Linked DNA regions of Xenopus tropicalis. The protein of the gene in region 3 interacts with the protein of the main gene of each other region in a pairwise test. Links are inferred from orthologs where the notes say so. Each region holds a gene or a part of one and is shown on either strand. Other genes may lie near its edges. The genes, in order: srsf11, tubb and lnx2.

Region 1 (7,609 bases), on a different chromosome or scaffold from region 3:
ACGCTAGATTACTAATTCTGTGTGTTACTTTTTTGTTTCCGTATTTAATGTGTTAAAGCAGGAGACACGGAAATGACTTCCAGCACCGATGTGATCCAGGTGACGAACGTTTCTCCCAGCGCTTCATCTGAGCAGATGAAAACCCTGTTCGGGTTCCTGGGAAAAATCGAGGAGCTCCGACTCTTTCCGCCCGAGTAAGTGCAGCGTTCGAGATAAATTCAGTGCGTGGAAGCGAGTGTTATGGCGGGCAGGCCTGCCTTGTAAGGGCCTTGGTTTGTCGTCTCACGTACACAGCAGTGTGTTACAGGCTTAGTGCTGGAATCTCCAGGCCAATAGCGCAGCGATTATAGGAAATGACTCCCCCCATTATTCTTTCTTTTTTTGGTTATAATGATAATTATTGTGCAACAGTTGATGTGTCGCAGTGTGGCACCTTGATTTAGAGAAGCAGCATGTTTGCTTTCGTTATCGCCTGCATGTGAGCTATTCCCAACGCATGCTGCTGGCTAGATTATTTCTGTTTGTTTTAGAACAGTTCTACAGCTTCAAGCAGCACAATGTGATAGAAGTTTGTAACATTCAGTCTCTGCAGGTGTGCCATTCCTGCCCTAACTGAAATGCAGGGCACACATCAAATAGCAATAATGTATGGCGGTTCGATTTCTTGTTCTGTATTCAAAAAAAGGATGTTTTCAGTATATATTCTCCTGGCACCACAGAACTAACGCATTGATGTAGGTTTTAGGCTGCCTGGTAGTGTTGTGCAACTTTACCTCTCTCTAATGATAAAGCTGCCATATCCAGCAGTGTATTATAAACAGTGCTAATAATTTATTTAGTGTTTTTCAATATCAGAACAAACCAGACAAAACAAATGAGTTGTACGATAGATACCCTGTTCTAAAAGGCTTTTCGTTTAGTTCATTAGTTTGAGCCGGGCTATTTGTCCACTCACTATATCTGACTCTGTAAACATGTGAGCAAGCTCTATAATTGTTTGTAGGAAAGGCACACTACTGTAAAACAGGGTTATGTTGTGGACATCTAATGTTGTTTTATTTATTTATTTTTTTATCTAGCTTATTGGCTGGTGGCCATGTAATTTCTGGAAGCTGTTTGGGAATTCTGATTCAGAAATTGCTGAAATTTGTTTGAATATCACTGGTTAAGAATAGAATACTTGGTTTAGAGTACTTGTGTAAATATAGTTCTGAACAAACACCAGTGCACATATATACACACACATACAGACCTAACAATACACTAACATATATAAACTATACATATCATTACCTCTACTAACTGTAGGTCTTAAGATGACAATAACCTTGGATATTATACAAGAGATCATCCAAACTATTCTTAAAGCACTAACATCACCCAGAACAGCATTTAACAATCTTTTTAATTTCCATAAAGAGCCACCAACACTTCTTCAAATGAAAGTTCTGCTCTAGTCAAAGGGCTGGCCTCTGTTGCATTGATCTTGTGGTGGGGGAAAAAACATCCCCCATTATCTGTCTAAAATGTCCTCCCATGTGCTTGTAGTTTATAGTTTGCTTTCAGATTTGTAAGTGTTGCATCATTGATTCTCTAACATTGCATATCACTAGATGTCACTATTTCCTTTTCTACAGAAACAAAATGTGTCTCTGCATACAAAGAAAGATTATACAGTTGATTTGAGTAAAATTTAACAGGGAGCTTTATAGTGTTTCCTGACAAATGTAGCAATGTGTAACAATTCGTTCTTTCTTGCAATGTGAATGAGAAAATAGCTGATTAGTGGATCAGTGGGCCTTGCATAGATATTGACAAGGCAGTTAAGGTGGCCTTACACGGGCCAATTCTAGCTGCCGATATCTGTCCCTTAGACTGATTCGGCAGCTTATTGGCCCGTGCATGGGCACTAAAGATGGGGGAGCCCGATCGATATCTGGCCCCAAATCAGCAAGATCTCGATCAGGCAGGTTTGAAAATCAGTCGGATCGGGGCTGCATCGGCTCTTATACTTATCGGATTTTGACGCTTAAATGCAGACTTTTGAGTTTCCACGCCAAAATCTACTCAGTGTAGCTCCAGGATGGTTCAACAGTGTAATTGAAACCCTGAAGCTATGGAAATACTTCAGTGGATTGGCACATTTTAGGAAACAAAATACTTGAAATCTTGCCATATGCATAATGACAGGTGGATTGAATACCTGTCACCGCACATGTAATCCGCGGGTAGGTGCCCGAATCAAGAAATTAGAAGGTCAGAAGACAATTGAACACTTCATTTTACTCAGTGCAAAATAATACATGTTCAGGTGATATTTTAAAATATAGCACATTCCAGGTTCCCATCCTCCCTGGATAAACCCTTAAAAATAAAACCATATAAGTATGGTTTATATTCTGAGCTGTACTTGGTTTTTGAGTATGATGCCATGTATCATTTGGGTGATGTTTTAGGTTTTAAGGAGGCTATGCATTGGACAGTACTCTCCGGTATCCAAATGATTGGTCCATGGGTTGAATGCTATTCTTATGTTCATTTGAATTTATAACCATTCACCAACAGGTCAGATCATCTGTGATCCAGTAAGCATATATGTCCAGATGGTCTTGCAAAGTGATCACAGTGAGCCAAGCTGGGTCATGTACTGCCAGCTGTAGATGCAGTGACACCGTTAACATGCTCAGTGCAGTCATGGTAGAAAATATTACTGCATTGCTTATATAAATTGTTTTTTTTTCCTATAGGATTTTTGACATATTTAAACAGATTCATTATTTTGAAGTACTTGATAGCTGATATTTATATTCTAGATGAATAGTCACAGGACTACTAAACCTGTTAATTTTTGCTACATGGTATGCTTACTGCATAGCTGGCTCTCTACTCCACTGATATACCAGCTCTATGCAAGCAGATTCCGAATCTTCTGACCTGGAAGTTACAGATTCCAGTAGGTAATTCTACTTTCTACATCTGGTTCAAGACCAGCCTTTTCAGGATTCTAGCATTTACAAAGCCAGTGATAAATTTGGAGGGTTGTTTCTTTGTGCAGACCTTGTGTAACAGCAATGTGTATAGCATATGTTTGCTATAGCTGCACTATGTAGAAATGATTTAACAAGCATTAAGAACTTTTAAAAATGTATTTTTTTCTCACTTAGCTTTTCTAATTATGATAGTTACTAAATATTGGGTAAACTTTAAGCAGTTCTGTTATTGTAAATGAACCCTCACTCATTTTTGTGCTACATTCTTCCCTGTCTGATGTGGTAGATTGCACAGGCTATGAACCTGCACAAGTACTGGCACAGCTGGAAAAAAAAAACAAATGGCACAATGGAAGCGGGACTTTATATTTCTGGCAATGGCACTCTGGGTGCTGTACATGGTATCACATATGCCATGCTCTGTGATGGAGGTAGAAATGTTGGGCAAAATAAATACCTTGCCCCCTTATTTAATTGAAAATCGTTTTGGTCTGCGCTTTTAACTTGATCACTTATGGGTTTATTAACATGTTGGTGTAAAAAAAAAAAAAATTGCCCATTTCTAAATGTTTGTGTGTGCGTTGCTATAAAAATCCGCTTAATTGTATTGTTCATAATACAGTGTACAATTATTATTTTTACCATATGGAATTTAAGTGTAAAGAAAGCTCTTTTTTTCCCTCTATGGGGTTTTAAGAGAAATATTTTAAAGTGAATTTTTGCCATTGTTTAGAAGGTAATTCTACATCTCATCTTATAATTATATATTTTAAAATAGGCCCCTTAATATCCTATTGTTTCCAAACAGGAAGGGAAGTACACAAAAAAATTATCTGCGAACATAGCTTGCTCAGTGTAGTGGTTCTGTCCAATTTCCTGCTTTTTTGTTTCCTCAGCTTTTCTTTTAAAGGCCATTGCAGTCCGAATGTTAAGTCTTCTATGTTAAATCTTCTTCAGCACGTGCAACAAAACATTTCCTATCTATCAAGATCAGTCCGAATCTCTACTGGTACATCGTTTGAATTGCATGAATTCACAAAATTCCAGATGTTTGGCTTGCAGAAATTCAGACTGATCTTAATCATAAAGGTGATTTCTAAAGTTTTGTCTTCTATACTGCAGGAGATCATGTGCCATTACCATAAAGAGTAGCAGCAACAAAGTTGTTGTAGATTGTGCCAAATTGTGAACAAGTGGAAACCATCTTTTGCATGGTTTACCTCCCCAGTTGTAGCCAAACAACATTTTTTGGCCAGCACTGTCGGGTATGCCATACAAATAGCATTTGACACTGTTTACAGTTCTGCAGCATTGGTGCTTGAGTTTTGTGCCTGCTGTTGTGTTTTTTTGTTTTTTTAATACAAATGTAAACTTCATCTCTTTGAGATAAGAAACTTTCTGTTAAAACTTCCATATAGTTTTTAAAAAAAAAAAGAATGTAAAACTTCACTATACCTCTCTTAACAATGGCCTTTGGTGCTCAGCCTTTGTGTGATTCTTTCTGAAAGACAGTTGAAATACAACATTTAGTTAAAGGGCACACAGACCAATGATTTATTAGAGCTTACTGTCCATCAAAAACTATCACGAACAGCCTGCATGAAGAAAAAAAACAGTTACTGATAGGTTGGTGAAGAGTAACTTCATTATTTTATAAATTGTCATTGGTTGTCTTTTTTTTTTTTTTGTAGCTACAGTTTAATTCCAATAGCACGGTTATCATGAAAGTATTTACTAACAGAATCATGAACTGTAGAAATGTATCACTTCTGTAAAATCTCAAACTGGGTAGCCTGGTATGGATATGTGTTTCTGTTGGTATGCATGTGCATCCTCCATCCATCCAATTCATTTTAATTATAAACTGATGTTTTACCTGATTCTTTCCTTTCCTTTTGTAGTGATTCTCCTTTGCCTGTAACATCTCGTGTCTGTTTTGTAAAGTTCCAAGATCCAGACTCAGCAGTGGTTGCACAGCATCTGACTAATACAGTGTTCGTTGACAGAGCCTTGATAGTCGTTCCATATGCAGAAGGTTTGTACCTGCTTAAGTTAACTATATCACTGCTGGGAAGGGGGATTTTATTGGTCCATACTTTAAGTGAGCACAGTCTGCATGCTACTGTTTTTTATTTTTTTTCTTTTTTTTTCTTTTGTATGGAATATCCCTGGTATACTGAGCATTCCCTGTTGCAAACACACTAAAGCTTTGATTACCTTTAGGGCTTATCTTAATTTATGCTGGACCATTGGCATGTTTTTTTACTTATGTATTCTATACAATGCTATATAATATCCAGACATTGTAAATTTTCAATATTTCTGCCATGGTGTTCTTTTTCCAGTGCAGCAGCTTGTCCCAATCCATTTCCATTGTATTTGTGGGAGAACTTTGGTAACCCTAATAAAGACCTTGAATGATATTCTGGTAATGCTAAGTCTACCATGGATTGATTGTGGTCTGTCAAAAAACTTTCAGAAGGGTCTGGATGGGAGCTGGGCATTTAAGTTTTTTCTTTCCCTCTCACATTTGTATCCTTCTGTACCTCAAAATACTTGCTAAATAATGAAATCTTCTCTCTGTTATTTGTGTGTGTGATTTTTGTAGTGGAGAAGGCATTTGCAAAGCCCTTCCTGATGACAGAAAAACTGGGTCCTCTGCTGCTTCAGGGGATTCTAGACATTAACTAGACGGCAGCAAGCTCTCGCATCCCCAAGTGTTATTCGTGGTGTAACTACTTATTAACAATATTTTCTTTCCTTAGATATAAGTGTATGACTCTCTTACTCCAGCATAGGCCTTTGCTTGGTTGCATTGGAAAAACTGCATCCTTGAGTGTAGTCCTTTGTAATGTTACAGTTGGATAACTGTATTTGATAAATTAGGTACTTGTGCTCTTATTGTAACAATCCTTACATTAAATCCCTGTGCTTGAAAATGATTCAAGCCCTTTAAAATGTCCTATAGCCATTGTTAGAATGGCAAAATCTCTTAATTAATCTGAAGGCATTTTTAGACATTTACATACACTGTATGCCCACAATTTTTATCCTGAAATCCTAATGTACAGTTTGTGCACTACACTGTATGTTACCTTTTCCCTTGTGTTACGGGAATATTTAGAGACCATATGCCTGTTGCATATCTTTACCTAGCTTCTATAAACGATAGTAAACATTGAATCTATATGGCTATTTCTGCCATTAAAGTTATGTCAGTGTTATCTCCTGTCATTTTTTATTGCATAGTAAGGTATGTGGTGTTTGGTGACTGAGTACACTGCCGACGTTAAAAATTGCAGAGATCAGGCAAAGGTAGACAACTAAAACAATGCACGCCACCTTACAGCTTTCTAACAAAAGTGAACATGACACTGCCCAATCAGGGAATTTGAGTAAGCCACAATTAAGTAAGAAATCTTGTCCTGTTTTTTCAAAACCAATATAGTCCTTTATTTTCTGTGTAAAACTTGCTTTTAATGCAAGGATTATAGAAAGAATGATTCTTTTTCATAAAAGGTTCATCTTCTATTCAGTACTTCATTCTTGTAAGTAATCTTATAAAAAAAAAAAAAGTCAGACGTGTTTGCCATGTATAAAGTTACTATGTGCTATTAGGTTGCACTTCTCTTCTTAAACATTTTCTAAAATGAGACTGAAAGCCCACATTCAGTACATGAATGATTAGAAACTGCAGAACAATCATGGTTGAATGAACACTAAAAATATTGTGGTATAAATAGTTCTAAACTGGCATGTTCTTCGTGATCCATCCACCTCTACAACTGTACCAAATATGTTTGTAAGGCTGTTCACCTCAGTAACTGTGGCACAGTGAGTTTTAACAAAGTTTCTATAAAATAGCAATTTTTGTTTAAAAAGGCAGTTTGATAATTAAGAACTTAGACTTTTAAAGGACTTGCAACACCAAACATGAAAGGGGTTTTTGTGCATTTAAATAAAATGTTACCTTTTACTGGCATGTTTCAGAGGCTTAGGGGCAGATTTAGTAATCCACGAACGGTCCGAATGCGTTTTTTCGTAATGATCGGTATTTTTGTGACTTTTTCGTATATTTTCCGCGACTTTTTCGTCGCCGTTGCGAAAAAATTGGATTGGTTTTTCCTCCGTTTACAATCACTCAATACGAAATAGTTTACAATCACTCAATACGAAATAGTTGAGCAAATTACGATAAAGTCGTGACGACGACGAAAAGACGGCAAAATTTTCGTTTCCAATCCGAATTTTTCCCTTTCAGGATTCGTGGATTAGTAAATCTCCCCCATAGAATTTATATAAATAGGCTCTTGTGTAGCCATAGGGGCAGTCATTTGTGCAGTAGAGCAAATGGTTCCAAACAAATAACAGATGAACTCTTTATAATACCATGATTTTTTATTTAACCAGCAGATAAACTGGTCAAATGTCTGAAAACATTTCTCATATAAAATAGGACACTTTCAAGAAATTTGAAGCTTTTCGTAACTACTGACTGGCCAGATTCAAATGTTATATTTAAAATAAAAATTCTCTATGGTCTTTTAAAATATTTTTTCCATTGAGCGAAGAATATATTATATTAGTTTTTTTTGAGGCTGTTGGAAAAGTTTTTCCAA
Region 2 (8,313 bases), on a different chromosome or scaffold from region 3:
CTCTGCTGGTTAGGGGCGCAAACCCAGGCATGAAAAAGTGTAGACGTGGGAAGGGCACCATGTTGACAGCCAATTTGCGAAGATCAGCATTTAACTGGCCAGGGAAACGGAGGCAGGTAGTGACTCCACTCATTGTAGCACTAACAAGATGATTAAGGTCTCCATATGTTGGTGTAGTAAGCTTGAGGGTACGGAAGCAGATGTCATAGAGTGCTTCATTATCAATACAGTAGGTTTCATCTGTGTTTTCAACTAGCTGATGAACAGAAAGAGTTGCATTGTATGGTTCTACCACTGTATCAGACACCTTTGGAGATGGGACAACACTAAAGGTATTCATGATGCGGTCAGGGTATTCTTCTCGGATCTTACTAATCAAGAGAGTGCCCATACCAGACCCTGTTCCACCACCCAGAGAGTGAGTGAGCTGGAAGCCCTGTAGGCAGTCACAGCTCTCTGCCTCTTTTCTCACAACATCCAGTACAGAGTCTACCAATTCAGCACCTTCTGTGTAATGGCCTTTTGCCCAGTTGTTGCCAGCACCACTTTGACCTGAGAAAAAAAAATAAATAAATTAATAAAAACGGACAAGGGTGAGTGAATTTGTACTGAAAAACAAAATGTAGCAAAGGAACACAAGCAAGTAGATGATCTAAGCTGTACAGTTTAGTGATGCAATTTTTTTTCCCTTCTAACAGGTGACTAAATTCCCTCTAATAACTACTCTAATGATTCTATTAAAATAGACCTGTGAAGTTTCCCTCTGGTGGACTAGATTCAGCTCTATATAAGCCTTTAATAAATATGTCCCACGGAATGATGAGTGTGGGTACATTTAACATGTTAACCTCTTAAAACAAACAACTTTTAATTTATTTGCAATGTGATATGTAGCAAAGCTATCCAACAGAACAGAAGCAGGACACTTCAGTTAAACAAGGATAGGGACTATATTTGGTATAAATCCACCTTCAAACCAAACACATAATAAAAACAAATAAAAACCTTGAAAAACCATGAAAAGAAAAAACGGGCAAAAAAAAAAAATATAAAAATATGCCTTACCAAAGACAAAGTTGTCAGGCCTGAATATCTGTCCAAAGGGTCCTGAGCGCACAGAGTCCATAGTTCCTGGTTCCAGATCAACAAGGATGGCTCGAGGGACATATTTACCACCTAAGAAGAAAATCTGTGTGTCAGTGGAAGTAACAAGGAGCTGGCACAAAAGGAGACTCAAGAAAAAAAATTCCTTTTGTTTATTAAAATCAGTTTCTCCAACTAAGCCTGTTGAGAGTGGTACTTTTTTGTTGCTTTGAACACATTTTACCTACACCCACAGACATAAACATGCATTTATACAAACGCTTCTCACCTGTGGCCTCATTGTAATAGACGCTGATTCTGTCAAGCTGCAGATCACTGTCTCCATGATAGGTGCCAGTGGGGTCAATACCATGTTCGTCACTGATCACCTCCCAAAACTGAGAATAAAATTTACAAATACACTTTGTTAATATACGGAAAGCTGCCAACCAAAGGTTTGATGCAAATCGTGTTACATTAGTTTGGATAATTAAAAAGGCCAAAGGCAGCTGGATGTTGCTGCTTTACAGAACTAAAATGAAAAGGGAAATGGTAACCACATCCCCTTCAGATCTTACACAATACAATTTTTTTCTCCGATTCCCCCTTATCTTTTTTTCCTCCTTCCTACATTTCTGCATCTGTTTTGCAAAAACAACACACTCTGTGAATCCATGTGATGTCTATGCCTCCATCCAATATGGAGTTCTATTTTTATATATATATATATATATATATATATATATATATATATATATATATATATATATATATATATATATATATATAATAGGACTACTTTATCTCTACCTATTTCAGGAATCTATTTCCCTGCCTTTTAAAAACCACAAACTATTACGCATTCATTTTCTCTCTCTGCCTTTTCATTTGTAATTCATACTCCTCCCTGCATTACTGTTCTGCTAAGTATTTAACTCCCTGCAGTCCAATCCTTTTCTACCATTTCCAACTCAATGGGTTTGCTCTTCCCTCCCCCACACTGACAGGAAGTCAGAGAACAAGACAGCCACACAAGCCTAGTGTAGGCGAGACAGGAATGTGACACAAAGGATATTCATTATAAAGCATGACAGGCAGTGACATACTATTTAGAAATATGTCATGTGCACCCGTATGCACAAAAATACTGGATATTTGTTTAGTAGATATACAGAATATGTAATGCTGACAAATGGGCAGGTCTCCATAAAACTAATAGAAATATAAATGTTCTGCAGATTCAAGTGGAGACACATATGTATATTAAACATACTATAATTATCATTCCCAGTAACAAGCCAGGATAATGATATATCTCAGTGGGTCTATTTTGCACAGGGTAAAGCATATCGGGTCATTTGGCAAGGAAGCGCTAAAGCCTAGGGTGTGGCATTGCAGCTGCGCCTGAATGCCAGGAATAGACTGGGACACCCTTACAATATGGATCACACATCCGTTATATCAGCCATATTGGCATCCTGTTAGAAATCTGCTATATCCTTCACTCCAAGAGATTCTAAATTCTTCCTTTAACTAGCAATAAATGTTTCACACAGTACATATCTCCTGTTGTCAATACTATATAATTTCAGATAACCATGAAGTAAAGCATCTATATTTACCTTGCTATACCTTATTTTTGTTTAAATGTGCATTTATGCATCTCTTCCCTTAAAACGTCATACACAATAGTGGGGGTTGCTCCCCCGTTAAAGCCCTTTAAGAAAGAAATTATTTTCAACACCACAGTACAGACCTTGGAATTATATAGAAAGGCAATAGACAAGCCGTTCTTTATGCAGGAAGCACACCCACCCTATAATCCCTGCTCTAATAGCATTACTAGGCAGCACTGCTGCACTGCAGATGCACATACGTCACCGCACTGGGAGCTTTCCATGGGGAGGTGGGGGGGACCCAAATGGGGCACAAAGCTGCCACAGCCCATTCGCCCACTGTTTCTGTGTATCGATTAACCCGAGACGAGAATATAATTAGTGCGTTTTGGGGCTGCTGCCCTCCATTTTGATGTATTCAAGCACAACGGGACAAAGAACAAAGGCCGGGGTTGCGAAAGGGAGGGGTGGTCGGGGAAAAAAGAGCAGGCGCCATGTAACGCAAAGCTTACAGAACAAATGTAGCAAATCCCAATTAATAGCCCTCTAATGTCACATGATGTTATGTGGCTTAGATTTTGCCACCAAATAAAATTGAATTTAAAAAAACATTTTTTTATCACCAAAAAAATCGTCAAAAAGGCCTCTGTCTGTTGCGGATGGATATTTAGCACTTCCCTTTATAACAGAGCATAAAGGCTGCATTTATCGCAAGTAAAATATTTTCTGCCCCGCCCTGACAATGGGTCGTTCATGCATATAACGGGATTAAGTAACGGAAATGGAGTTTAAACTGTATCATTTTTACCTATACACATATATAGAAAAATGTAATCCTACCCACGTATATGTGTATAGATACAGAACGAATATAGCGGATATGATACGTGTATGATTGAGCGGCTGCCCTGGCCACTCCCTCTCCCGCCATAGCCCCTCATCCCAGTACCACACTAGCCACGTTATTCATTATTATACGCCGTGTGTGCAAAATGGCAGTTCTACACGACGATGTGCTATGCAGTCTTTCCTGCCTGCTACCGTACAATTAAATATTTTCCTGGATATGCCACTTTATTTTACGACTAAAGCGCGCCCACGTGTTAATGAAATCGCTCGTCTTCGGTAATATACCGCGTTTGTATTATTGCTATCACTACATGTATTTCATTTGGAGGGAAGGCACTTACTGTTGGATATTTTGCCGCACTGGAACAAGAGACACAGCCCCTTCCCCTGAGACGGAAAGACTACACATCCAGCGCCATAATGCACTGCATCTTTCATGAACAAATCAGGGCATAGGGATTTAGCATGGCATACAGGTAATTGCCACCCCCATGCCAAGTGGAGCTGCCCTCATGCTAAATCCCTAGGGGAGAGTCGTGTAATCACGTGTTGCACTAAAAGCCGGAGCCCTGGCCACATCATTATTCAGCACAGAGGCGCATTTGCAGCAGGGCGTGGAGGTTTATATGTGATATAGCCTATCGCCTACCTACCCTGTCAGGCGCAGCAGCTGCACGATTATATTTAACATCGGATCGTTTTGTTTTCAATTAACAATTTTCACTAAAATGACATAATATCTACTGTATTACAGGTAGGCTCCTGGTCATTATAAAGGAGCGAATTAGTAACGCTTTCACGAGTCCCCGCCAATTTAGACATCTGACAAAAGGCGGGGACTATAATCTGATACTAGCCGCTACACAGCACGACTGCGAACTGACATTGCCCACTGACTTAAAGGCTGTCATGGCATAATTTATATTGTCGTTATGTGGATGTAATAATGTCAATATTTCGGGGTGTAGGGTAGAGGAATTTTCATATCACTGGAGAGTAGGCGAACCCTGATCTCACCTTAGCGCCGATCTGGTTGCCACACTGGCCGGCCTGGATGTGTACAATCTCCCTCATGATTCAGGCGTAATAGATGTTCGGAGGATGGAACGTTGGAGACAGCGACGTTCTGGTGTGGAACGTCCGAGACAATGGCGAGAGCAATAAGGGAGGTAGCCGGTTAGTAGAGGAAGAGGGCGGGCTCTGTTGGGAAGGGGAGGGGCAGAAAGGGGCACATCGGGGGCTGGGAGTGGCATTTCTGAGCAGTAGCTGTAGTGCGGTGGATAGCAGGGCTTGTAGCTGTCGTGATATTGGTTATTACATGTACAAAGGCTGCTAAGGACATTTGCCATAATTGCACATTTAGTGATGGTTAAGCATATATTTCAGGCTTAGAATGAGTAGGTTAATTTTATTTCAGAGGCTTATAAACCTAGCAGTGCTGTCTGATACCGAACCCAAACGAACAAGCAATCACTCAGAATTGGTACAGCCTATATACAAAGACAGGGGCAGCCTCCTTGAGATACCGCAGTATTGGGCTTGGTAGGTAGGGCGGGCAGCTGCCGGAGCCTGCAATTCTTACTGCTGTGTCTTTGTATTTCACAGCAACATTGTATTACAATTTCTCATGCCTATGTACCATATCAGGGAAGGTGCTACACAATATGCACCCTAACAAAGAGCAAGTTCCTTGTGGATATAGCAATAAAGTATCACTGGATTTGCAGCTGTTGGCATACACGGTGTAGTTCGGTTCTCGTGGTTCTGAGGATATCATTGGCTGTAAATCCAATTAATTATTATTGAGTTCCATTTATAAAGCAGCAACATATTTAACTTTACATTCATAATAATCAACATACAGATACAGGCAAACCAATACAGTAGGAAATAAAAGCCCTGCAGGGATATGTGAAACACAAGGTATGAAAAAATGTAACCAGGGAGACTAAAGGCAACCTATCTCCATTAATATTGTCTCCCCTACAGTAGGTATCAGCTAACAAAGAACTGCTTGGGGGAAACAATATTTCCTTAAGAAAACCCCCATTATGAATGTTATGCCCCCCCTTAGCTAGGAAGCTAAGTTGGGGCACACATGCACATAACAAGCAAGTGCTCCAGCTTTATCAGTATGGATATGCATGTGATGTAGGATAAGGGGACATTATGTGCAGACATGTCCAGTCATGACCATCCCTCACAGTGTGGGGGGCATAATGCTTGCAAGGGGAGTTTTGAAAAAATAGTGCGGGCATTTGATACCAAGAAAGGGAAAGTTGTGCTCAACCACTAAATTTTAAGCCATTAGGCAGGGAGCAATTAGGTTGTGACCACAAAATACATATAGGCAACAAGAGAGGTGCTCTGCACTCACCCATTATAGATTTAGGCTGATGACATGGCATGAATAAGATACGCTCGGGTATACACATAAAAACGTGTATTTCAGCTACATGTGCCTGCACTGGAGCGTTTTTCGGCTTGCCGAGAAAACGCCACGTCTGACATCAGCCATATGAAGGACATTAAGACATTCTGTGCATCAAGTTAACAAGAAATGCCCTCCTCCTTTAAGCAAAACAGGGATTATCCATATATTGCAATATACTTCAAGCTACCCAACTATATGAAAGCCATCCCCAGTCTGACCAGTCCTACACTGACTTTTCTGATTCATTAAGGATTCTACTGCTTTAATAAACATTTAACAAATTGAGTTTTACCTGCACCTTACTTGCTTTCAAGGTTAAAAAAAAAAAAATGCCAAAATGGTTGCTGCTTTTATTGTAGCCCCCACCCTTCCCAGCTACAATCAGGTGATCCCAATGGAGCCAATAAAAGGGCAACCATTTTGGTGTTTTAAACTTGAAAACAAATAAGTTGCAGGTAAAAGGTTTTTTTTTTGGTAAAGCGGATGTGCACCTTTCCAAAGCTTTACCAGAGTGGTAAGACTTTACAAAAGAAGAACTTTACCCATTACAATCTTTTTTTTTTTTTTTTTTTTTTAATGCTTACTTTTTATTATTTAGTTGGTAAAAATTCTCTCTTACTATGTCCTCTTAGATGGCTACCCCTCAGTAGGAGGGGGTCATGGACCCCCTCACCCACCTACATGCAGAGACCGTTAGCAGGGAAATTTCCCAGTCGACATCTAGGGTAAGAGCTTGGCTGCATCAGGCAACTAGGTCGCAATGCAGAGAAAAGATAAGAAAACGCCCATGTACAGTAGCTCTTAATGCCGCTCTAGGAGACTGCTTTACCCTCTCTCTCTTACCGCTGCTGATCTCTGCATCTTTGCTTATCCCTAAATGGGTAAGCGACTTGTTTTACTGAATAAAGGATGCCTATTTTTAATTCATTATAATGAGTAAAGATCTTATTTTGCAAAGTCCTATGACTCTGGTAAGGCTTTGCAAAATGTGAACATCCCATTTGCATTAGAGACCTATTCATTTAAAGAGGTAGTTTACCTATAAATTAACTTTTAGCATGATGAACAATGCTATTCTGAGACAATTTGCAAGTGGTCTTCATTTATTATTTGTGGTTTTTGAATTTTTTAGGGTTTTTTTTCAGCAGCTCTCCAGTTTCAGCTACTGTCTGGTTGCTTGGAACCAAATAATCCTAGCAGCCAGGCAGTAGTTTGAATGAGAGACTACAACACGAATAGGAATGGCCTGAATAGAACGATAAGTAATAAAAAGTAACAAAAACAATGACCTCCATTGTGACCTCCATTTAAAGGAGAATAAAGCCTAACTAAAGAAGTAGGGCAGAAATATTATACATTATGTTTTGGGCGTTTGTACCATGCCCAGGCAACTACAGCCCTTTAGCAGGGAGGATCTGTGCATCCAAAAATGCCCCAGTAACTTCCCATCTGATTCAATGTACATGCTCTGTGCTGCTGTCAGTTACTGAGCTTAGGGGCCAACTCAAAATATACTGCAGTAATAGAATATAAATGTAACGGTAAAAGGCTGATTAGTAATTCATTTAAAGTCACATTAAATAACAGATCTGAAACCAGGGCAACTGCATCAGAACTAAATAATTAACTCGGCTTATATGACAGACATATCTCATTTTCTGCTTGATAATTTGCAACGACCCCTAAGCTCAGCTTCTCAACGGCTGCTCGGAGCCCACTGAGCATGTGCACTGTCCCGAACAGTTCTAACAGAATCCAAGATAGGAAGCTACTGTGACAACTGTAAAGACCTATATCATTACTACTATAGAGATGCTGAAACTTTAAACCAGTCCAGTCAGTTTGTTATATAATTTCTAGCCATATTCATTTTTAGGGTTTAGTTCTCCTTTAAGAGCTGGAAAGATTATTTGCAATGCCAAGTGTCTTGAGGGGGCAGGGGAAGAGGGCCAGGTAGGGTTTACTACTCTGCTCCGGGCCCTTCCAAAGATTAATTTTTGCGAAGGGAGGGGAACAGTAGTTACACCCCTGTCTAAAAGTCTAACCGCATCTCTGTGTGATAGGCCGTTTAAATGTTTAGGGATGCTACACAAGTTGCTAAATACAGTAAACGTATGGTGAGTATATAGCATTTACTGTAGCCTGTGCAAGCCACTTTTTTTTGCTCAAGTACAGATATAGACAATATTAGCAAATAACATGTTAGTGCTGTGTTATGGCTAATGTCCCACGGAGAGATTTAGTAGCCTGCGATACATCTCTGCTACCCCGGGCGACTAATCTCTCCGAAATTACTTCAGCTTTCCAAAGGTGCACAAAATTTCCTCCTGC
Region 3 (8,067 bases):
TCTCACAGCTACAGTCCCTTCCCAGAGGCTATTATCCCCCCACTGCTACTATAGGCACCATCTCTCCCTACTATACCTGCTATCTAACAGCTACAGTCCCTTCCCAGAGGCTATTATCCCACTGCTACTATAGGCACCATCTCTCCCTACTATACCTGCTATCCCACAGCCACAGTCCCTTCCCAAAGGCTATTATCCCCCCACTGCTACTATAGGCACCATCTCTCCCTACTATACCTGCTATCCCACAGCCACAGTCCCTTCCCAGAGGCTATTATCCCCCCACTGCTACTATAGGCACCATCTCTCCCTACTATACCTGCTATCTAACAGCTACAGTCCCTTCCCAGAGGCTATTATCCCACTGCTACTATAGGCACCATCTCTCCCTACTATACCTGCTATCCCACAGCCACAGTCCCTTCCCAAAGGCTATTATCCCCCCACTGCTACTATAGGCACCATCTCTCCCTACTATACCTGCTATCCCACAGCCACAGTCCCTTCCCAGAGGCTATTATCCCCCCACTGCTACTATAGGCACCATCTCTCCCTACTATACCTGCTATCTCACAGCTACAGTCCCTTCCCAGGGGCTATTATCCCCCCACTGCTACTATAGGCACCATCTCTCCCTACTATACCTGCTATCCCACATCCACAGTCCCTTCCCAGAGGCTATTATCCCCCCACTGCTACTATAGGCACCATCTCTCCCTACTATACTTGCTATCCCACAGCCACAGTCCCTTCCCAGAGGCTATTATCCCCCCACTGCTACTATAGGCACCATCTCTCCCTACTATACCTGCTATCTAACAGCTACAGTCCCTTCCCAGAGGCTATTATCCCCCCACTGCTACTATAGGCACCATCTCTCCCTACTATACCTGCTATCCCACATCCACAGTCCCTTCCCAGAGGCTATTATCCCCCCACTGCTACTATAGGCACCATCTCTCCCTACTATACCTGCTATCCCACAGCCCGAGTCCCTTCCCAGAGGCTATTATCCCACTGCTACTATAGGCACCATCTCTCCCTACTATACCTGCTATCCCACAGCCCCAGTCCCTTCCCAGAGGTTATTATCCCCCCACTGCTACTATAGGCACCATCTCTCCCTACTATACCTGCTATCCCACAGCCACAGTCCCTTCCCAGAGGCTATTATCCCACTGCTACTATAGGCACCATCTCTCCCTACTATACCTGCTATCCCACAGCCACAGTCCTTTCCCAAAGGCTATTATCCCCCCACTGCTACTATAGGCACCATCTCTCCCTACTATACCTGCTATCCCACAGCCACAGTCCCTTCCCAGAGGCTTTTATCCCACTGCTACTATAGGCACCATCTCTCCCTACTACACCTGCTATCTCACAGCCACAGTCCCTTCCCAGAGGCTATTATCCCCCCACTGCTACTATAGGCACCATCTCTCCCTACTATACCTGCTATCCCACAGCCCCAGTCCCTTCCCAGTGGCTATTATCCCCCCACTGCTACTATAGGCACCATCTCTCCCTACTATACCTGCTATCTCACAGCTACAGTCCCTTCCCAGAGGCTATTATCCCCCCACTGCTACTCTAGGCACCATCTCTCCCTACTATACCTGCTATCCCACATCCACAGTCCCTTCCCAGAGGCTATTATCCCCCCACTGCTACTATAGGCACCATCTCTCCCTACTATACCTGCTATCCCACAGCCACAGTCCCTTCCCAGAGGCTTTTATCCCACTGCTACTCTAGGCACCATCTCTCCCTACTATACCTGCTATCCCACAGCCACAGTCCCTTCCCAGAGGCTATTATCCCCCCACTGCTACTATAGGCACCATCTCTCCCTACTATACCTGCTATCTCACAGCTACAGTCCCTTCCCAGAGGCTATTATCCCCCCACTGCTACTATAGGCACCATCTCTCCCTACTATACCTGCTATCCCACAGCCACAGTCCCTTCCCAGAGGCTTTTATCCCACTGCTACTCTAGGCACCATCTCTCCCTACTATACCTGCTATCCCACAGCCACAGTCCCTTCCCAGAGGCTATTATCCCCCCACTGCTACTATAGGCACCATCTCTCCCTACTATACCTGCTATCCCACATCCACAGTCCCTTCCCAGAGGCTATTATCCCCCCACTGCTACTATAGGCACCATCTCTCCCTACTATACCTGCTATCCCACTGCCACAGTCCCTTCCCAAAGGCTATTATCCCCCCACTGCTACTATAGGCACCGTCTCTCCCTACTATACCTGCTATCCCACAGCCCCAGTACCTTCCCAGAGGCTATTATCCCCCACTGCTACTATAGGCACCATCTCTCCCTACTATACCTGCTATCCCACTGCCATAGTCCCTTCCCAGAGGCTATTATCCCCCCACTGCTACTATAGGCACCATCTCTCCCTACTATACCTGCTATCCTACAGCCACAGTCCCTTCCCAGAGGCTATTATCCCCCCACTGCTACTATAGGCACCATCTCTCCCTACTATACCTGCTATGCCACAGCCCCAGTCCCTTCCCAGAGGCTATTATTCCCCCACTGCTACTATAGGCACCATCTCTTCCTACTATACCTGCTACCCCCCAGCCACAGTCCCTTTCTAGATTCTAATATTCACTGTTGCTGGCACCAATTTCCCATGAATGTTATGAGACTGACACCCATTACTCAAGGCTTCACACAACATTTTTGGCCTTATTCCAACAAATTCTGACACACAAATTCTGCTGTTGCTGGACTACATCACTCTCTGCTAGCCATGTGCATGATGGGAAACATTGTACAGGAAGTGTTTTAAAACATAAATATAGGAAAAGGAAGGGAGACATTTCAGCTCTGCAGCCCCTCTGCAGGAGAGTCACTTAACAGTGATCTATTTCCCCAGCGAGAGAAACCTCTCTGACTTGTATAGTATTCCACAAAATCAATTTATCAAAGTGCCAGAAAGAAAGGAAAAATCTCTCGCAGAAAATGAAGGAATCTGAGCGATTTGCCCCAGTTTGGGGTGAGCAACAGGGACAGATTTCCCACTGAGCTGCTGATTTCCAAGTTCTCACACACAAACATACACACGATAAATATGGTGCCCAGTTTGTTCACGCCGTGAATCCTCTGCTCAATAAGTGATCTTTATCCCCTGGCAGCCCTAGCGTGTCAGACTTTGGTCACTCTCAGTTTACGGAATGGGAGGGGGGAAGACAGGCAGGGTTGGCAACCCAATCCGCAAACTGTGACTCACACAAGGGAAGCAAAACTATTGAGCCCTGTGGCCCCTGCCATTGGGTTACAGAATGAACCTGCTCCCATAACAAAGCAGAACACGGGATCCATAGAGCATTGTTTGGTCTCCTGGCACAAGTTCCATCTCTCATAAACAAAAGTTTTGTATTTATATTGGTAGGGAGACTCGGGAGGCAAGGCAGGAGTATATGATGCCAGCAATAAGTAAAGTGAGAGGCAGGGCAGCACCGAGAGCATCTGCCAGTATAAATGTTAATGTTTCCATAAGCATGATACAGTCTGTTAGCAGCCAAGCCCTGATCTCAGAGAGTAATCGATGCCGGCTGGACTCACACGCTCCCACAGATCAGCAGCTGCCAGGTATCACTTTACAGTACATCTACTACCAGAAGAAAATGGATCCGTGCAATGGGTTTTGCACATGGAGAATAAACAATGAATTAACCATGATGTTACCATAGTGTTTACATTAGGCTTTCCCTGATCATCATAGACAAAGGAAAGTCTTTAAATGCAACATATCGCTTATCACTGACATTCCATGCACAATGGACAGTAAAAGCTGCCAGATCTCATTGAAGAAATCAAACTGGGAAGTGGGCGAGTTAGTGACAGGGGCACAGGCAGTAATGCAGGGCACCCACCTGTACCGGAAAGAGAGGTCTGTCTGTATCGTGCCCCCCACCAAAACAAAAGCATTCAGCTAAGCGTGATTCAATTTCTATTCGCTGCAAGTCCAGCCATAGTATTAATGAAAGGTCTTTCCATGGAAGGCACAAGAAATGATCCACCATTCAAAGAGGTACCTGATCTAACAGCCACAGGGCATTTGTACTGACTTGAAAATCTCAGTATCAGTATGTCCGTTATATATACATACGTATTATATACATATATATATACCCAAATGTATTTTATGTTTAATATTTTCTATTTACTTCAGGCAATATTTAATTTCCCCTGGAAATAAACAACATAGCCCAAGGGACTGTCTCAAGTATAGAACATTATTCCCAATACAATACACAACTTTTCCTTTGCTGAGGACCAGAACCTCTGCTGCCCACAATGACCACTCCAGAATGGTTCTGCATGCCCAGTTGGCACCATGCCCCCATACACACACCAAATGACTCCCTCACTGAAAGTTCATGCAACCTAGTACAATCAATGTTGGGAGAACTCATTTTATGGGGGACATCATGGGCACTGCACAGTGTTATTAGCAAAGGGACAATACAAAGAAACTGTGGCCATTCTTTGCAGTCTAGTTGTTGAAGAATTACCAGCATCCCCCCCCTAGGTGGGGATTATGGGAGTTGTAGTCCTGAAAGAGCCTTTATGTTAAAGGTCATCTATATGTGCTACTGACATTAAGGACCATTGTGCATGGAATGTTGTGTCCAGCCCTGCCCAATGCCAGGGAGAACACAATGCACACCCCCCGCAAATCTCACGCCTCAGCCAGAACAATGCTCCCTCCAACCCCCCAACCCTCCTCCCACCCCCAAAATAGCAGCAAAGTTATATCTTACCCCTGCGTGGGATGTTCTTCCCCTGCAGCGGTCGGGCGCTGTGCAATCAAAGGACACGCATGTGTGAGCGCCACAGCACTGTCCTGATCTCCCAATATGCCTGAGTGGGAGAGGTGCCGGCTCACTCCCCCTCCCTCCCTCCTCCTAGTGCTGCTGCTACTGACATACTCCTGCCAAAGCTCCGCTGCAGCGCAACCCAGACTCTGGTTACCGGGGAAACCATTATACCCGCCCATCCCGCTATACATGGCAGGGCCGCGCTTAATTGACAGCGTCCTCCGCCTATGCCCGAAGTAGGACCTTAACCTCTTCATGCTGTTGCCATAGCCTGGTGGCAGGTTGCGCTTATAGTTGGGTATTTAGTGTGTCTGCGTAACCTTGAGTAAGCCACTGGGAAATGCAAGGTAGGGTTAGTCTACCTGCAACATTCCCCTATGCTTCTCTATATCCCGGTGGTGGAATCATTAACCCTGGCAGCTGGTATCGCTGGGGTATTAACCATTTCAGCCAGGGCACTGCCTGCTCGGAGTTTGTATGAGCTCCCCTTACATGGGTGGGTTTCCCACACGATGGGTTACTTGGCCCCTGATACAACTGACCCTAATCTAGGGACACACTCAATCCACTATTTTGGGATTCAACTGAATCCTGAATTCTTCCTGAAAGATTTGACCAAATTTCGAACTGAATCCGAACCTTAATTTCCATATGGAAACTAGGGTCAAAGAGAAATAGGTTCCACCGGGCACTTCAATTCCACAGAATCCAAATCTTGCTGAAAATGGCCGAATCCAGAACCGTATACTAGCAGGGTTGGACTAGGGGGTTCAGGGACCACCGGGGCTACCACCCCAGAGGGCCCCGCACCCCCCAAGGTGCCTCCGCCAGCTGCGTCTCCCACAGTGGCCCCCTCCACTCACCCCTAACCTCCCACAGGGGCCCCCTCCACTCACCCCTAACCTCCCACAGTGGCCCCCTCCACTCACCCCTAACCTCCCACAGGGGCCCCCTCCACTCGCCCCTAACCTCCCACAGTGGCCCCTTCCACTCACCCCTAACCTCCCACAGGGGCCCCCTCCACTCACCCCTAACCTCCCACGGGGCACCCTCCACTCACCCCTAACCTCCCACAGGGGCCCCCTCCACTCACCCCTAACCTCCCACAGGGGCCCCCTCCACTCACCCCTAACCTCCCACAGGGGCCCCCTCCACTCACCCCTAACCTCCCACAGGGGCCCCCTCCACTCACCCCTAACCTCCCACAGGGACCCCCTCCACTCACCCCTAACCTCCCACAGGGGCCCCCTCCACTCACCCCTAACCTCCCACAGGGGCCCCCTCCACTCACCCCTAACCTCCCACAGGGGCCCCCTCCACTCACCCCTAACCTCCCACAGGGGCCCCCTCCAATCACCCCTAACCTCCCACAGGGGCCCCTGCCCGATGTCCTCCCCTGAACATGCGTATGTGAAATGCGTCAGGAGAAGACATCGACGGCCAGGGGAAGCGGCAATAGAGTCGGGTCTGGGCAGCTGGGGACTCCTGGGTATTTTTCCGGTGTCCCGACAGCCCAGTCCGACCCTGAATCCTAGATTCAGTGAACCCCACCATAATGTGGTACGAATCTTATCATGCAGTGATCGCTGCATTCAGCGCAATTACATGCCTCTCTGCAGTTTGTCTGTTTTAGCAGAATGAGAAAAAATAGGGCTTGTCCCTTGGAATTCTTGACATTTAGCAGCTACAGAAGCAGCACTGTGACGAGTCATCAGTTACATACCAGGTCTTGTTAAACTATAACACCCACATTACTGCCCTGTATGTTAATGGAAGTTTTACTTCAATACTCACATTCAGGTATATGGCACTTCAATTTCAGTATGCAACTAGGGTTTCTACCTTTTCTGAAAAAAATGCCTTCCTATATTGTTACTTTTTTCCCTGTAAATAACATTGGCATCAAGCAGAAAATGTTGTAGCCAGGCCAGTAAAATACCAGCCAGGTGGCAACCATATATGGAACCACAATAGCTACCAAGTGTAATATCAGGTTTCTGTGTGGGCAATAATGAGCATGGCCCCTTGCAGCACAATATATGGCAGGCTGAGATAATCTTTTAAATGAGTGTTGAAATTGCAAAGTTTCTTATGCAGTTAAGCCTACTCATATTTAATCACTTTTTGCAGGACTTCATGTAATGGAGAGTGAATAATTTAAGTGCAGATTCAAATTCAAATGTTGCAATTTATTCTTTTGCCTTTTCTTCTGCGGAATTGTTCTCAGAGAATCCAACTGGAGGCTTAAGTGGCAGATAAGTTTTATGGCTTCCACTCTTCCCAACGGGGTTGATAAACTTCTTTTTATGACATTATTAACTTAATATAGTTCAGTTGTTAAACATGCAGTGTGACAAATATTTTACCCTCATGTAAAAAGTTGCATTTGGTGACATCATTTGATGCATTTGCACATGCGCAGGTAGAATTTTTTGGCTTCAGTTCCCATTTAAAGAGAAGGAAAGTCATTTTGGCATTTTACTGCCAATAGATTTGCCACATTAGTGCCACCTAGAACAATATATTTATTCTGAAGAAAGCATTGACATACCTAAGTAAACAGCTTTAGAAGGTTTCTCCATTTGCTTAAGATAGCAGCTGACATTTTAAGTAGCTTCCTTCCTGCAGTCTAGCCGTTAAAGCTGAGATCACACATTTCTAAGGAAGAGGGGAGAGATTTCTTAGCATTCTGGTGGGAGGGGGAGCAGGAGAGGGAGAGAGTAGAGAACTGCACAGACTCTGGCCACGGGAATTAAGAATGTTTCTGAAAGAGGAATCAGACACTGGAACATCATGTTTACAAAAAAAGAGACAAGAAATCCCGTGTTTCTTTTGATAGAGGACTCAGTGCAGCATTACGTCTTATGGCTGTATTTACATAGACCTTTCTGATAAAGCTTACTTAGTTTTTAACTTTCCTTCTTCTTTAAAGGTGATGGTAAATCCTCTCTCAAGATTATCAGTCAACATAGATATCAGTGAATGTGCTTTACTATGAGTCTAGCAATTTATTATCTCAGAATTAAGCTCACTATGCTGCTTGATCTATTTGTCTACAATCAGTGCTGTGATGCACTGTAATGTACTGATATAAAGGCATCATAAATGCATGATTGATTGATGCTCATGTGTACAGGCATTATAACTTTTATCTGTTTTACTTCAATATATTTGGAATCACAGTAACTATTCCCATTATGTGACTGGTAAT

Evidence for each region.
Region 1: the proteins of lnx2 (region 3) and srsf11 interact in a two-hybrid assay, tested with the Homo sapiens proteins (3 studies listed by BioGRID and IntAct). The link is inferred for Xenopus tropicalis from reciprocal best matches to the Homo sapiens genes LNX2 and SRSF11.
Region 2: the proteins of lnx2 (region 3) and tubb interact in a two-hybrid assay, tested with the Homo sapiens proteins (3 studies listed by BioGRID and IntAct). The link is inferred for Xenopus tropicalis from reciprocal best matches to the Homo sapiens genes LNX2 and TUBB.

Annotation. Positions count from the first base shown.
Region 1 is NC_030680.2:82,768,407-82,776,015, reverse strand, and holds part of srsf11 (serine/arginine-rich splicing factor 11), read left to right. Parts: 5' UTR 1-72; coding exon 73-194; intron 195-4,891; coding exon 4,892-5,025; intron 5,026-7,609. UniProt on the Homo sapiens protein: May function in pre-mRNA splicing.
Region 2 is NC_030684.2:75,228,214-75,236,526, forward strand, and holds the start of tubb (tubulin beta chain), read right to left. Parts: upstream 4,678-8,313; 5' UTR 4,623-4,677; coding exon 4,566-4,622; intron 1,482-4,565; coding exon 1,373-1,481; intron 1,177-1,372; coding exon 1,066-1,176; intron 553-1,065; coding exon 1-552. UniProt on the Homo sapiens protein: Tubulin is the major constituent of microtubules, a cylinder consisting of laterally associated linear protofilaments composed of alpha- and beta-tubulin heterodimers.
Region 3 is NC_030678.2:155,297,946-155,306,012, reverse strand, and holds the start of lnx2 (ligand of Numb protein X 2), read right to left. Parts: upstream 4,977-8,067; 5' UTR 4,800-4,976; intron 1-4,799.